Arabidopsis thaliana: one gene and its partner. The protein of the gene in region 2 interacts with the protein of the main gene of each other region in a biochemical or structural test. Each region holds a gene or a part of one and is shown on either strand. Other genes may lie near its edges. The genes, in order: BES1 and ELF6.

Region 1 (4,523 bases), on a different chromosome or scaffold from region 2:
TCTAAAGCTCCCCTGATTCTTGTTTGTTTCCACTTGGACTTTGTGTAGATATACTACTGAAACACACTCCCGGGTCTCAACCTGCTCGGTGCCTTGAGCTATTTGCGAGGGAAATGGCTGCCGGATGGACCTCTTGGGGAAACGAACCGCTTCACTTTCAGGACTCGAGATACTTTTTGAAAGTTTAGTGGGCGCATTCCCTAGGGTGTAACCAAGAAAAAGGCTGGCTTGGGCCCTCATGATCGTTTTTCTCTATGACTCATTCTCAAGCTGGGGACAGTTAGGAGAGAACCCTTGGAAAGAAGTGGAAGGTTCGGTTCATCGCAAACGACATCGTTTGAAGAAGACAACACTAGAGTAAGCCTGAAAAAAGTATAGTGTTACTAAAGATTATTTTGTCTCAGAACTGTACCATCAATTTAGTAAGCTTTTTCCTTTTCCTTTCATAAACAGATGATGTTTCAGATAAAATTTAAATATATTATCAGTACAGTAAGATTACATACTATATTAGTATCACTATTCTGCTATTCACTAGATTTCTTTTTCTTTTTCAACAAAATATGAATAAAATAAAGGCAAAAGCGTGTTAAATATAAATTCAATAAGTGACTACTCGTTGGAAGATCATATCTGCTTTGATGGGTCTATTTGTGGGGCAAATCCACTATCCAGTTTTCCTTTTGTGTTCAATGAACTATACAATTGTCAAAAAAAAAAAAACATGAGAATTAAAGAAAATCATCATGACCAATGAAGAGCAGGTCCCAACAATAATTCCGAATTATAGGCTCTGATTGTTATAGCAATCAAACAATATGCTTACAAATCACAAAACAAAATTAACGATATTTCCAAATATAGAGCTTTCCAGTTTGACTTAATAATGTTGTGTGAATATCCTCACATTTCCATTTTCGACTCTCTTTAGTAAATTTTGAAGTAGTAGAATGATGTAGAATGTTTTGTTTTATCAATCACACAGTTTTGTGAAATCACGATTTCCATCCACTATTCAAGAAAAACATCAAGTGGAAGAAATAATAAACCAAAACCATCGCAACAAAATGCATATCACGAGTATAGAATGAACAAACTACACTGTCAAATACTTAATTTAGGACTTAAACTTCGCTTTCAGACAACTTGGTTCGGAAACTTGACCATCCGTCATGTTGATATACACAATCCATCTCAAATGTAGTAGTGAATCACTATATCAGCATGTGTTATCAAACGCAAGTTGTCACTAAGATCGGAGCTTCTAGTTCAAAATGTTGATAAGTATTACGAAAGTACAATTGAATATACCAATTATACATCCAAACACGTCCATGCTTCTCCACTCGAGTTCTCTTTGGAAATCTATATAATCCGTCGGTTTGGTATTTTACTAGTTGTACGTAGTGTCTCCCCTCATATGTATTGAGTCTTTATAGTTTGTTGCCTCGTATACGATAGAAAGTAAAGGCTAAAAAACCATACTATTTCATAAAGGGTTTATTTAGTTAACTTTTAATCTAAACCATGTATCACTCCATTTTACGTATATTCGTTTTCACAAATAATCTACTAAATAATTTTGTAATGTGATAAAATTAAAGAATAAACACATGATACATAAACAGTCAGGACAAAAGTAAGCACTCATTTTCTTCTATTCATACTATAGTGAAACACTATTTTATTTTTATCCATATACTATAGTGACAAATTAATCTAATCATTAAATGTTATGAGGCTCAAAACAATTTGTTTTCTTATTTAACATGGCCGATCCCCTCATAAACCAATCAGATGGTGTGTTTTCCGGTCATACTCGTGTAGGACCCACTTCATTACAATGGCCCCACATGTCTCTCTATCTTTTTCTCCTCTTTATAAAATCAGCTCCTTTTCTTACACAGATTTAGAGAAACACAACATAAAACGTACTTCTTCTTCAAAACGCGAAACCACACTGTAAGTTACGTACACCACCACCTATCCTCACCATTCATCATCGACACGTGGCTGGTTTAACTCAAATCAACGGTGAATTCTTTTTGCTTTTTTATTTTAAATAATGAATGAAAAGATTCTTCTATAATTCCAGCGAAGAAGAAAGAAAAAAAAAAGCGTATTCCTCGTGAGCACTAACTTCTCACTCATTCTTCTTCTTCAGCTGAATCCAAATACCCATTTCCATTTTTAACCGTGGTTGGATTGTTTTGAGAGTTGAAGGAAGAAGATGACGTCTGACGGAGCAACGTCGACGTCAGCTGCAGCTGCAGCAGCAGCGATGGCGACGAGGAGGAAACCGTCGTGGAGAGAGAGGGAGAACAATCGGAGAAGAGAGCGGCGGAGAAGAGCTGTTGCGGCGAAGATTTATACTGGTCTTAGAGCTCAAGGTAACTACAATCTTCCAAAACATTGTGACAACAATGAGGTTCTTAAGGCTCTTTGTTCTGAAGCTGGTTGGGTTGTTGAAGAAGACGGAACTACTTATCGCAAGGTCAGTATCAAACGCATTTTTACTTAGATCTGATGTTATCTGATGATTTAGCTGTTGAATCTGAAGATTTGGATTTGAAATTGGTCAAATTGGGATTTTCTTGGCTATGAATTCGAGGTTTTTAGCTGAGGAAGCTCAGTTTTATTCTAAAATTGGATCGAGATTCCTTGCGGAGAAAGTGACCTTTAGGGTTCTTCTTACTAATTTGAGAACCGAATTAGCTTTACTTTCACTTGGTTACTATATTTAGATCTCTCCTTTAGCTTTTGATTGATTGTGACATTGTGATGTTTTTGGTATTGTTCTATGAGCAACAGGGACACAAGCCTCTACCTGGTGACATGGCTGGATCATCTTCTCGAGCAACTCCTTACTCTTCCCATAACCAAAGTCCTCTTTCTTCCACTTTTGATAGCCCCATCTTATCTTACCAAGTCAGTCCTTCCTCTTCTTCATTCCCGAGTCCTTCTCGAGTTGGTGATCCACACAATATCTCCACAATCTTCCCTTTCCTCAGGAATGGTGGTATTCCTTCATCGCTTCCTCCACTTAGAATCTCAAACAGTGCTCCTGTCACTCCACCAGTGTCATCCCCAACTTCTAGAAACCCCAAACCATTGCCTACTTGGGAATCTTTTACCAAACAATCCATGTCCATGGCTGCTAAACAGTCAATGACTTCTTTGAACTACCCGTTTTATGCGGTGTCTGCACCTGCCAGTCCTACTCATCATCGCCAGTTCCATGCTCCGGCTACTATACCTGAATGTGATGAGTCTGACTCTTCCACTGTTGATTCTGGTCATTGGATAAGCTTTCAAAAGTTTGCACAACAACAGCCATTCTCTGCCTCTATGGTGCCAACCTCGCCTACCTTCAATCTCGTGAAACCTGCACCACAGCAATTGTCTCCAAACACAGCAGCAATCCAAGAGATTGGTCAAAGCTCCGAGTTTAAGTTTGAGAACAGCCAAGTTAAGCCATGGGAAGGGGAGAGGATCCATGATGTGGCTATGGAGGATCTAGAGCTCACGCTTGGAAATGGTAAAGCTCATAGTTGAGATGAAGTATACATGAACCTGTTATGTCATGTCGGAAGGAAGGATTGGAGAATGAGAATTAGTGTGTTGTTCATTCAGTTCATGGTTTTGGTTCTTGTTCTAGAATCGATATTCATTGTACCAGTGAGTTTGTTTCACAACGCATTATTTGTAGATAGAATGTTTAAGATGTATGTTTCTATTATCATTCCTTTTAGGTCTTGAAAACATTACAAATATATTACATGATTAAGTGGCTTGAAATGTAAATTATATATCGGATGATGAAACAGAGAAAAACAAGTGAGGCTAAAACAAAGACTTGGGATGTAATAACAAGATCAGAGAGGTTAAGAAAGAAAAAAAAGACTTGCGATTTTAGCCATAAGATACACAAAAATTCATAATACAAAGAGGAAAGTAGAAGGCATGAAGCAGTAAACATTGGAAAAGGGAGAAATATATTAGAATCACAAATGTCAAGAAACTCGGAAAGTTTTTTTTAGCCTATCTGCTTTTCAGGTGAATCATTCAGAACCATCGGGGAAGCTATCAAGCGCGTCTTGCTTACCGTTAACGTAGAACTCAACGACGGCTTGCATTCTATTGAGCTTATCTGGATGGTAATTCACATGAACAATCACTGGTTTCACTTTCTTCTTCAGTTCATGATTCTTTCTTACAGTCTTGAAAAGGACCTTACTGTTCATAAACTCATACATATCCATGACTCTCTTGGATGCATGTAGCGCAGTGTACTCAGGATGTGAAGGATAAAACAGTTCCTCGTTGAAAACCGCTTGGTCCCACACTTTAGCCTTAGAGAGTCTATCTGCCACGCGATCAAGCAGCTCGATTGATGGAATTGTAGGCCTCAAATAGAAAAACCCGGAATTGAAAACCCATATCCTCATAGTGTGAGCATACCGAGCCCATCCCATGGCTGGTTCATCAAACACATCATTGAACCCATAAGCCGTATGATTGTC
Region 2 (8,112 bases):
ATTTTTTGAAAAATAAATAAAAATAATAATGATGATACGTAAAAGATATCGTTACTGGCAGCATTATGTTGTGATTTTAATAAGATGCGTAATCTATATCGTTAGATAATAAAACCCTCTAAGGAATTTACAATACAAGTAAGAATTGGGATAATGATTAACTCACGTATACGTAACTACAACATCTGACATAGATTCTATTTTTAATACACGTGTTCCTCAATTCCAATTGACACATTACAATACTTCTCACGTAACCAAAAGCTCAAAACTTAAGTTTCCAATTATAATACATTTCCGTAAAAGACTGATATTTGTGACCTGGGAGAAAACAAGAATACTTTTTGTTAAACCGTTTGGGAACTGCTGCAACAAGTCTGTAGGCAATGAACCTAAGAAGAGATCTGGGATTAAATGGGTGAGTCATGCGTATTAACATTTTGAATCCAATCGTTACATGTTTAACAACGAATCTAAACAAGAGTGCGAGGCCTTCTCAAAAGTGGAAAGAAGTCACATCTATACTACATAAAGAGATATAGCAACGGTCTAAACCACTAGAAAAGAACTAAAAAAACCAACCAGATATTACATGTTACAACAACTCTCGATTCCAAAGAGAGGCCATTTCACTTTGTTCAGCCACCATTTTTAAGCATTCAGTGCCGTTTTTTCTATGTGACATAGTGCATGGTTTTACGTCTGTGGCGACTATAGTCAGATACAAACCTAAACGACAATCCACATCCATCGACCTTGCATATGTATGGTCGCTCTCCCGTGTGCAGACGCAAATGTTCTGTCCTCGCCCATTGCCATTTGAAAGTCATTGAACATCCTTTCCAAGAGCACTCGAAAGGTCTTTCATCCTTATGCACACGTTGATGAAGCACCAGATATTTGTGAGCCCTGAATTTCTTTCCACACCCTTCGTGAGTGCAACGGTTTCTCTTGTGAGTTTGTAATTTCGCTTTACTCTCAAAAGTCATCTTGCATCCCTCTAGGTAACAACGGTTGGGGTGAGTTGTCGTGGGGACTTCTTGCTGACGACTCCCTGAGCAAGCCTTTGGTGTTTTCTTCAGCCTTTTCGCAATGGGTTTCTTCTCTTCATCACTCGTTTCAGTGTGCTTTAATGAAGTTTCACATGTTGCTTTCCTCTTGCCCCTTGACCTCAACCCTTCACAAGGACTCCTTATGAAACCAATGCTACTCTCTGGATTATCATTTGTCTCAGACTCTGATTCTATTTTCCGCTTCTTCTTTGCTTCTCCCATAGAATTGGGAGCCTCAATAACTTCGGTGTTTTCTGAGCTTGAAACTTCACTCTCCATGCTAAGCTCATCATTTAGAACTTGCAATCCATTTGAAGAAGCTTCATCACCATTGCTCGAACTTAATATATCGCTACTTTCCAAAGGTTCACCATCATGGGTCATGTCAACAACTAAGTTCTCACTGGCCGTGTTTATGTCAGGAATTTCCATACCCACATGAGCTGAAGAATGCTCAGTGTGCAGAATTATTTCAGAGCACAAGTTTTCTCTGGTAGACACAGCTTCTGCTCCCTCCACCTGTTCGTGATCACCAAATACAGCTTCTCTTTGGGTTGGTTTCACAATCTGTGATTGCTGTTCATCCTCAATATTAGTGACAGTAGACCTAGGTTCTCCAAACTCTTGGTCACTCATTTCAACCGCTTCCTGAATACCACGTACAGACACATCACTGCAGACATAATCACCAGACAATTTTCTTGGTCCGTCATGATTATCACCTGTAGAAACAAGTATGGTCTGGCTTGCCACAACATGACTACCTGAGTTGGAGCCATTATTATTGCTGGTCATAGAGTGTCCTTGGTGCTGCTCTCTGGATATGGAGGTTAAGGTTAGGTCAGCAGAGTCTCCATTCACCATACTCAAACTATTTGTGACATTCCCATCTAAATCTGAACCAAACTTGACAGTGATCTCGGGATGTTCTTGCCCATGTCCCACAGTGAAAGATGAGCTACAAGGATTTATGGAAAATGATACCCCAATGACCCTTCCAGAGTCTCCAATCTCACTGTTCATCTCAGAACGAATTGCACTATCCAGATGTGACCTACTGCTAAAATTTTTACATGTCTTATCAAAATCTTTTGATTTAGCTAGGGTAGCTAGCTCCTGAACTTGTTCTGCTGAAGGCTTTGGATTCAACTTTTTCTTTCTCGAGTACTGGATGATCTTTTCTTCCTTTTTTCCGGTCTGAGAATCCAAATTATCCCTTAATTTTCCATCTGCTTTTACTTCAAGATGTTCACAAGGTGTGAAACTTGAGGTAGAACTGGGTTTAGCTTTTGAGCGTGATTTTCTCTGCAGCCATCTGATAGTTGTAAAATCTAGCATCTGGCTTGTATCGGAGAACAAGCCACCTAGTGACAGTGCATGCTGAATTTTCTTAGTAGGGGAATTTTTCCTCACTTTCACACAGTACCGTAAATTGATGCCAAGTTCTGAGGTCCAGTCTACACTGTGTTCGTATTTTTCTTCATCTTCAATTGCAAGATCAATTAGACTCAACTCTTCCTGAGATGCACTCTCTAACAGGACATCATCATAGCTGAAAGGGACTTTGACCTCCTCTGCCACTATAGCCGCATGTGCCTTGAATTTTTGAAAGTCTGCAACAATTTTAGAAAAAGGTTAACAGAATATCAACAATCAACAGACTTTTAGATAATTTTTATTTCCAGGGGGGTGTAAAAATCATAACTCTCTTCTATTCAACAATTTATCAAAAAGTATCGCAAATGATGCAGACAAACCTTTATGGCAAATAACAAGGAATTTCAATCCACCTCTTGATTGCAGCAGTCTCTGAAGTTCAATAGTGTGTTCGAGGCAGAAAATGCGAGGTCTTATATATCTAGAAGACGTTTTCCATTCGCAGTCAGACTTTTCTGATGACAGTGTCATAATTTCCTGAGCATCTGTAGAGTTAATAGAAACAGAATTAATAGACTTTAAAAGGCATATGATGCAGTTCATAGCTTGGATAAAAACTGATCTGTTACCTGTCTCTCCTTGTCTCTCTGAGAGATCTTTTAATGCTTTTTCAGAAGGCTGTACCACAGACATAAAGGGGAAGCCAAGAACGCCACAAGCCACACATGGCAAGGTTCCAGTATCAACTTGGAAATCGTTAAGCAGACCATCATCATCGTCGTAGTATACATCATTCAGCTTCTCCATGAACAAGCTCAATTCCTCTAAAAGAGAAGTCTTTTCTTTATTCTGCAATTCAGAATGACCCTCCTCAAGTTCTTTTTTTGCCACTGCTGGAGGTGAAACAGCAGAAGCACCAGCAACTCCAGCAGCTGCAAGAGCCAGTGCGCTATGACGCGGAAGTAAATCAGGGTCCCACATCACCAAACGAGAGCCTGGTTCTCGAAGAAGAACAGATAAATTCTTGTTTTCGTTCAATATATCTTCTACAAAAGCTCTTTTCACAAGGAACTCTCTTTCTTCTCTCTGCCGATCTCTTAGTCGGGAGCTACGACCACCTGGTAGCAATGATCGTGGCACTCTGGAAAATGTAATAATTACAAGAATATGAGCATTGACATGGTCCATCAAAACGTACAGGTTATATGACAAAGAGACCATGGTAACCTGCCTTGAAACAAAGGACATAGTCAAGAGATATAGCAGCTGCTGATGGGACAGCATGGGTAGATAATTCATGGCTGCCCGACGCACAGCAGCTTCCTTTGCTACGTTGAGCCACTGTGGGGTTCCAAAATTAGCGGCTTCCCCACAGTTAAAACCTAGGAAAAGTTATATTAAACCCGCTTAGTTATGGATTCCGAAAAGTTTGTAATTCGTATTCCTAACCTAAGCCAAACTATCCACTTTTTTTACTATGCGCCTGAAATAACTACCCAATAGAAATATGATTCTTCATTCTTCTGATTGGAAGATCAATCCTCACCTCATGCTATGTCGATAAACACCCTTTTTCTCCACAGCTTTATTCAATTTCTCACATTTTCTCAACCACTTTGTAGAATGCAAATGGAATGAACAGAATTACTAAGACTTGAAAGAAATGTTTGAAAAAAAAGGCACTTTACCGTGGCTGAATCCTACATGATAAGACCTCGGAAAAGTCACAACAAATTCACCAGGATTTTGTACCAACCTACGTAGGCAAACAAACATAAATAAACATAGATATAGCAGAGAATGGAAGTAGTTATAAGAAAACACTGCCTCATATCTCCACATAACAGAAGTGAAAGTTTAAATGAAATAAAAGGCCTACCTACAGCAGGGAATGCCAGATGCAACTATCATCTCAGGTGATACAAGAGTTGTCTTTTCGCCTAGTTGGGTGAGAGCAGCTGACAGTAACAACGAGCAGAGAAGTGTTAATGAGAAACAGGACAATGCTTTTCCTAAGAGTATTGCAATCTCTTCTATCTATCATAGCGCAAAAGCAATAAGACCTACGACAATTAACCACAATTAATAAACTCTCTTCATACCATGGTCAATGTTAGCCATATTTTCATTTGCAAAGTAGGAAAATTATGCTAATAAAGAAAACGTCAATGCGGTAATCATTCTAGGAAACCTCATTTTTCACATGCATTATAATAACAACATATCTCTATAAATACAGAAACAGTATATCATCTTTAGCAGTAGTTTTCAAAAAGAACGTACCCAGTTGGTCAATGTTCCTGCCATAAGAATTTTTGCGGATAACCTCTTCAAAGTCAAGCGCATAATCACAAGGGACAGCGTACCAAGTCTTTGGTGAGCCAGTGTGAAGATAATTCATACTGTGAAGCTCATGATCCTCAACGTGCCAGGCAAACCAACTGAACAACATACCGATATAAACCATGGGAGATGTAACACCAGGAATGTCATCTGGCATGAAACGTGTAACAGAACCAGGTGAACGTGCAATCATCTGAAGGTTCCACGAACTGTTGGAGAGCTTCCAGCCTGCAGTACCTTCCATTTCATCAACAATATCCATGTTCTTCTGCTTGGACGAATCCTGAGATGATAAACTTGTAGAAGCAAGGGGTGCCTTTTCTACCTCAGGCGATGACTTTTCACCGTTCTTACCTGATGGATCATTATTTTCTGTCTTCCTCTGATAAAATCCCCTGCCCCTCCTCTTCCTCTGCCGGAAATGCCTGAAATGATCCTCTGGCTCACCGAAAGCAGAGCCAGGCACGTCATTAGCATACTCTATATATATAGGCTTCTCTAAAGCCGCTTTCCAGAACAATGCCTCAATGACAACTGGTGCCAGTTCCTTAACCGTTCCTAATTGGGTTTTGTAGAAAGCTTTCGACTTAGCTTCAAACTGATCCAATGTATAAACGCCTCCACTTTGCCAAACCTGCTTAACACCACTCCTTTGAGAATTACTCTTACCCTTCTCTCCTTTGTTTTTTTTCACAGTTTGGCCTAACTCTTGCTGCCTAGTGGTGAATACAGCTCTATCCTCTTTACACACCTTCGAAATGTCAACATCTGAAACCAATTCGGGACACTTCAAAAGAGACTTGTTCAAGTTGTAGAAAACATACTTTTTCGATGGCTTGGGTAAAGGAGGAATGATCTTGCAAATCCCAAAGGCACTAGCTTCCTTTTCGATTTTCGATATGTAAGCAATGGGATCTGCAAATTCAGTGTCTGTAGGTCTAAACACAGGTGCCAATGGCAAAGCTTTAAGCCAATTCGGAATTTCAACATTACCCATCTTAAATTCCCAATTCCGTAAGACCCAGCACTTCAAACACCAAAATCAGATCAATCCCACAATTAACAAGATCAAGAACAGAAACCTAGTGGAGAAACCCAGCACTCTAAAACCCTAGATTCGAAAATTCCGATGCCGGTTTCAAAGATGTATCTTCCTGGCTTCTTCAAATCGGGACCAAATCAACACAATGAAATTTTACGTAACGGTACGATCAACAACGGCAAAAGCAGCGGAATCTTCATGAGGAGAAGAAACGATATGAACTGTGCGGTTGCGCAACGACGGAGAAACGGAGGAGAAGCAAAGAGAGAGAAAGTTGTGTAAAGAAATTGTTAAATCTTGAAAATTCCTAATTTACTTTAATGTTTGCCGTTGGCGCATGTTAGCGTGGGATAACTAAACTCTTACTAGTGTGCGCGCAGTATCAGATAACTTAAACCAGCGGTTCGGTGGTTCGTGGACCAGACTGACTCTTTTACGGACCAGTTCTGGACTTTTGGATTACTGTTTTCGCATTTAGTAGCATTAACTATTAAAAGCCCACTACGGTATGGCCCTATTTATAATAACCAGTTTTTGAAAGAAAGAAAAAAAAAACTGTTTTCTTTCTCATTAATATAGACATGATGAATTCTCATTTGATAAACTCTAAAGAGAATAAGAAAGAAAGAAAAAAGCGACGCCGACTAAAAGGGCGATCATCAATTTCCAATCGCCGTTCGTGCCGATCATAACAGCAGACACCACCATCGCCGTCCCTCTTTTGGGCTTATGAACTTCTCTCTCACGAAGAGTTTCCATCAAATTCAGAGTGAGCGGAGCTTGAAGACCGGAGATATTCTCGTTTTCTGCCGGAATTAGGATAAGTTTTTGTGTTTTCAACAAGTTTGGATTAATCTTGTGGGTTGCATATTAGTTTGCAGAGTTTGGTTGAGATCGCCTAGGGTTTGCTTGTACAAACCTTCATCATCTGGATTTGCTCTGGTTTTCTACTTTATTGATAAGTTAGTGAAGCTTTGAAAGGAAAGTCAATTGCATAAGATAGATAGCTGTGTTTATAAAATCTACCAAAGCAATTGTTCAAGTCCGAGCAAATTTCTAAGGTTATTGAGAAGTTGTTGAGACTCCAATGAGTATACTAAGTTGGAATTGTCAAGGGGCTGGGAACACTGAGACAGGCCGTCGTTTAAGGGAGATGCAAAGAACGTTTTTTCCAGATTTTCTATTTCTCATGGAAACTAAACAAAAAAAGAAGTATGTTACGAGATTACAAGACTCTTTAGGTTATGATAACTGTTTCATGGTTGATCCAGTAGGATTGAGTGGTGGCTTAGCCGTTTTTTGGAAGAATTGCTACAAGGTTGAAGTGTTGAGTGCTGATAATCGCATAATTGACTTGAAGGTGAATATAGGGTCAATGATGTTTTTCCTCACTTGTGTCTATGGCGATCCAGTGAGAGCTCTTAGACAGTTAGTATGGGAACAACTTTCTGGGATTGGCATTGGTAGAAATGAAGCTTGGGTAGTGCTTGGTGACTTCAATGAATTGATGACCAATACCGAGAAAATGGGAGGACCTCTCCGCAATGAATCATCTTTCTGGGATTTTCGTAACATGGCTCATAATTGCAAATTGGCAGAGATAAGAAGTTCTGGAAACTGGTTTTCTTGGGCAGGCTGGCGAGATAAAATATGGATTCAATGTCGGCTTGACCGGAGTTTCGGTAATGACGAATGGTTTCAATTATTTCCTAGAGCTCATATGGAATATCTTGATATGTGGGCATCAGATCATCGACCTATTTTGATTACCTTTGCTTCGGAGCAAAGTGTTAATGCCAAAGGAAGGTTTTGTTTTGATAAGCGGTGGTTATCAAAACCAGGAATTGTTGACGTAGTGAAAAGAGGATGGTGTGGTGGACAACAAGATATAGAGATCTCTTTGGCAGAACGTATAGGAAGATGTAGATCAGAATTATATCGTTAGAAAAGATCATCAAATACTAACTCTGAGATAAGGATGGTGAAGTTAAAAGAGACTCTTGAGAAGGAAGTTTCTAAAATGCACCCAGACCCCAACGTAATGCAGAGGACAAAGACTGAGTTAGCTTTTGCTTATAAAGAGGAAGAGATATTCTGGAAACATTGCAGCAGGGAACAATGGCTTAACACAGGGGAAAGAAACACTCGTTACTTTCATAACTGTGTGAAGAGTAGAAAGGTAAAAAATAGGATCTTGATGCTTGTGGATGAAGAGGGTGATGAACAGTTTTCAGAAGGATCCAAAGGACAGATTGCCATAAACTATTTTCGAGAGCTCTTTAGCAGCTCAAAGCCACA

What was found.
Region 1: the proteins of ELF6 (region 2) and BES1 form a complex in vitro, tested with the Arabidopsis thaliana proteins (one study listed by BioGRID).

What each region holds. Positions count from the first base shown.
Region 1 is NC_003070.9:6,686,611-6,691,133, forward strand, and holds BES1 (Brassinosteroid signaling positive regulator (BZR1) family protein), read left to right. Parts: upstream 1-1,924; 5' UTR 1,925-2,069; coding exon 2,070-2,128; exon of another isoform or gene 2,129-2,223; coding exon 2,224-2,494; intron 2,495-2,811; coding exon 2,812-3,555; 3' UTR 3,556-3,801; downstream 3,802-4,523. Other genes in the region: AT1G19340 (Methyltransferase MT-A70 family protein), read left to right, coding at 49-188; RRA3 (Nucleotide-diphospho-sugar transferase family protein), read right to left, coding at 4,062-4,523. UniProt on the Arabidopsis thaliana protein: Positive regulator of brassinosteroid (BR) signaling. Transcription factor that activates target gene expression by binding specifically to the DNA sequence 5'-CANNTG-3'(E box) through its N-terminal domain.
Region 2 is NC_003076.8:1,167,201-1,175,312, reverse strand, and holds ELF6 (Zinc finger (C2H2 type) family protein / transcription factor jumonji (jmj) family protein), read right to left. Parts: upstream 6,161-8,112; 5' UTR 6,097-6,160; coding exon of another isoform or gene 5,902-6,096; 5' UTR 5,770-5,901; coding exon 4,713-5,769; intron 4,388-4,712; coding exon 4,309-4,387; intron 4,186-4,308; coding exon 4,118-4,185; intron 3,812-4,117; coding exon 3,661-3,811; intron 3,571-3,660; coding exon 3,059-3,570; intron 2,975-3,058; coding exon 2,810-2,974; intron 2,666-2,809; coding exon 675-2,665; 3' UTR 321-674; downstream 1-320. Other genes in the region: AT5G04238 (uncharacterized protein), read left to right, coding at 5,902-6,096. UniProt on the Arabidopsis thaliana protein: Histone demethylase that demethylates 'Lys-27' (H3K27me) of histone H3, thus acting as a positive regulator of gene expression. Demethylates tri-methylated (H3K27me3) and di-methylated (H3K27me2) H3K27me. Inactive on H3K27me1, H3K4me3, H3K9me2 and H3K36me3.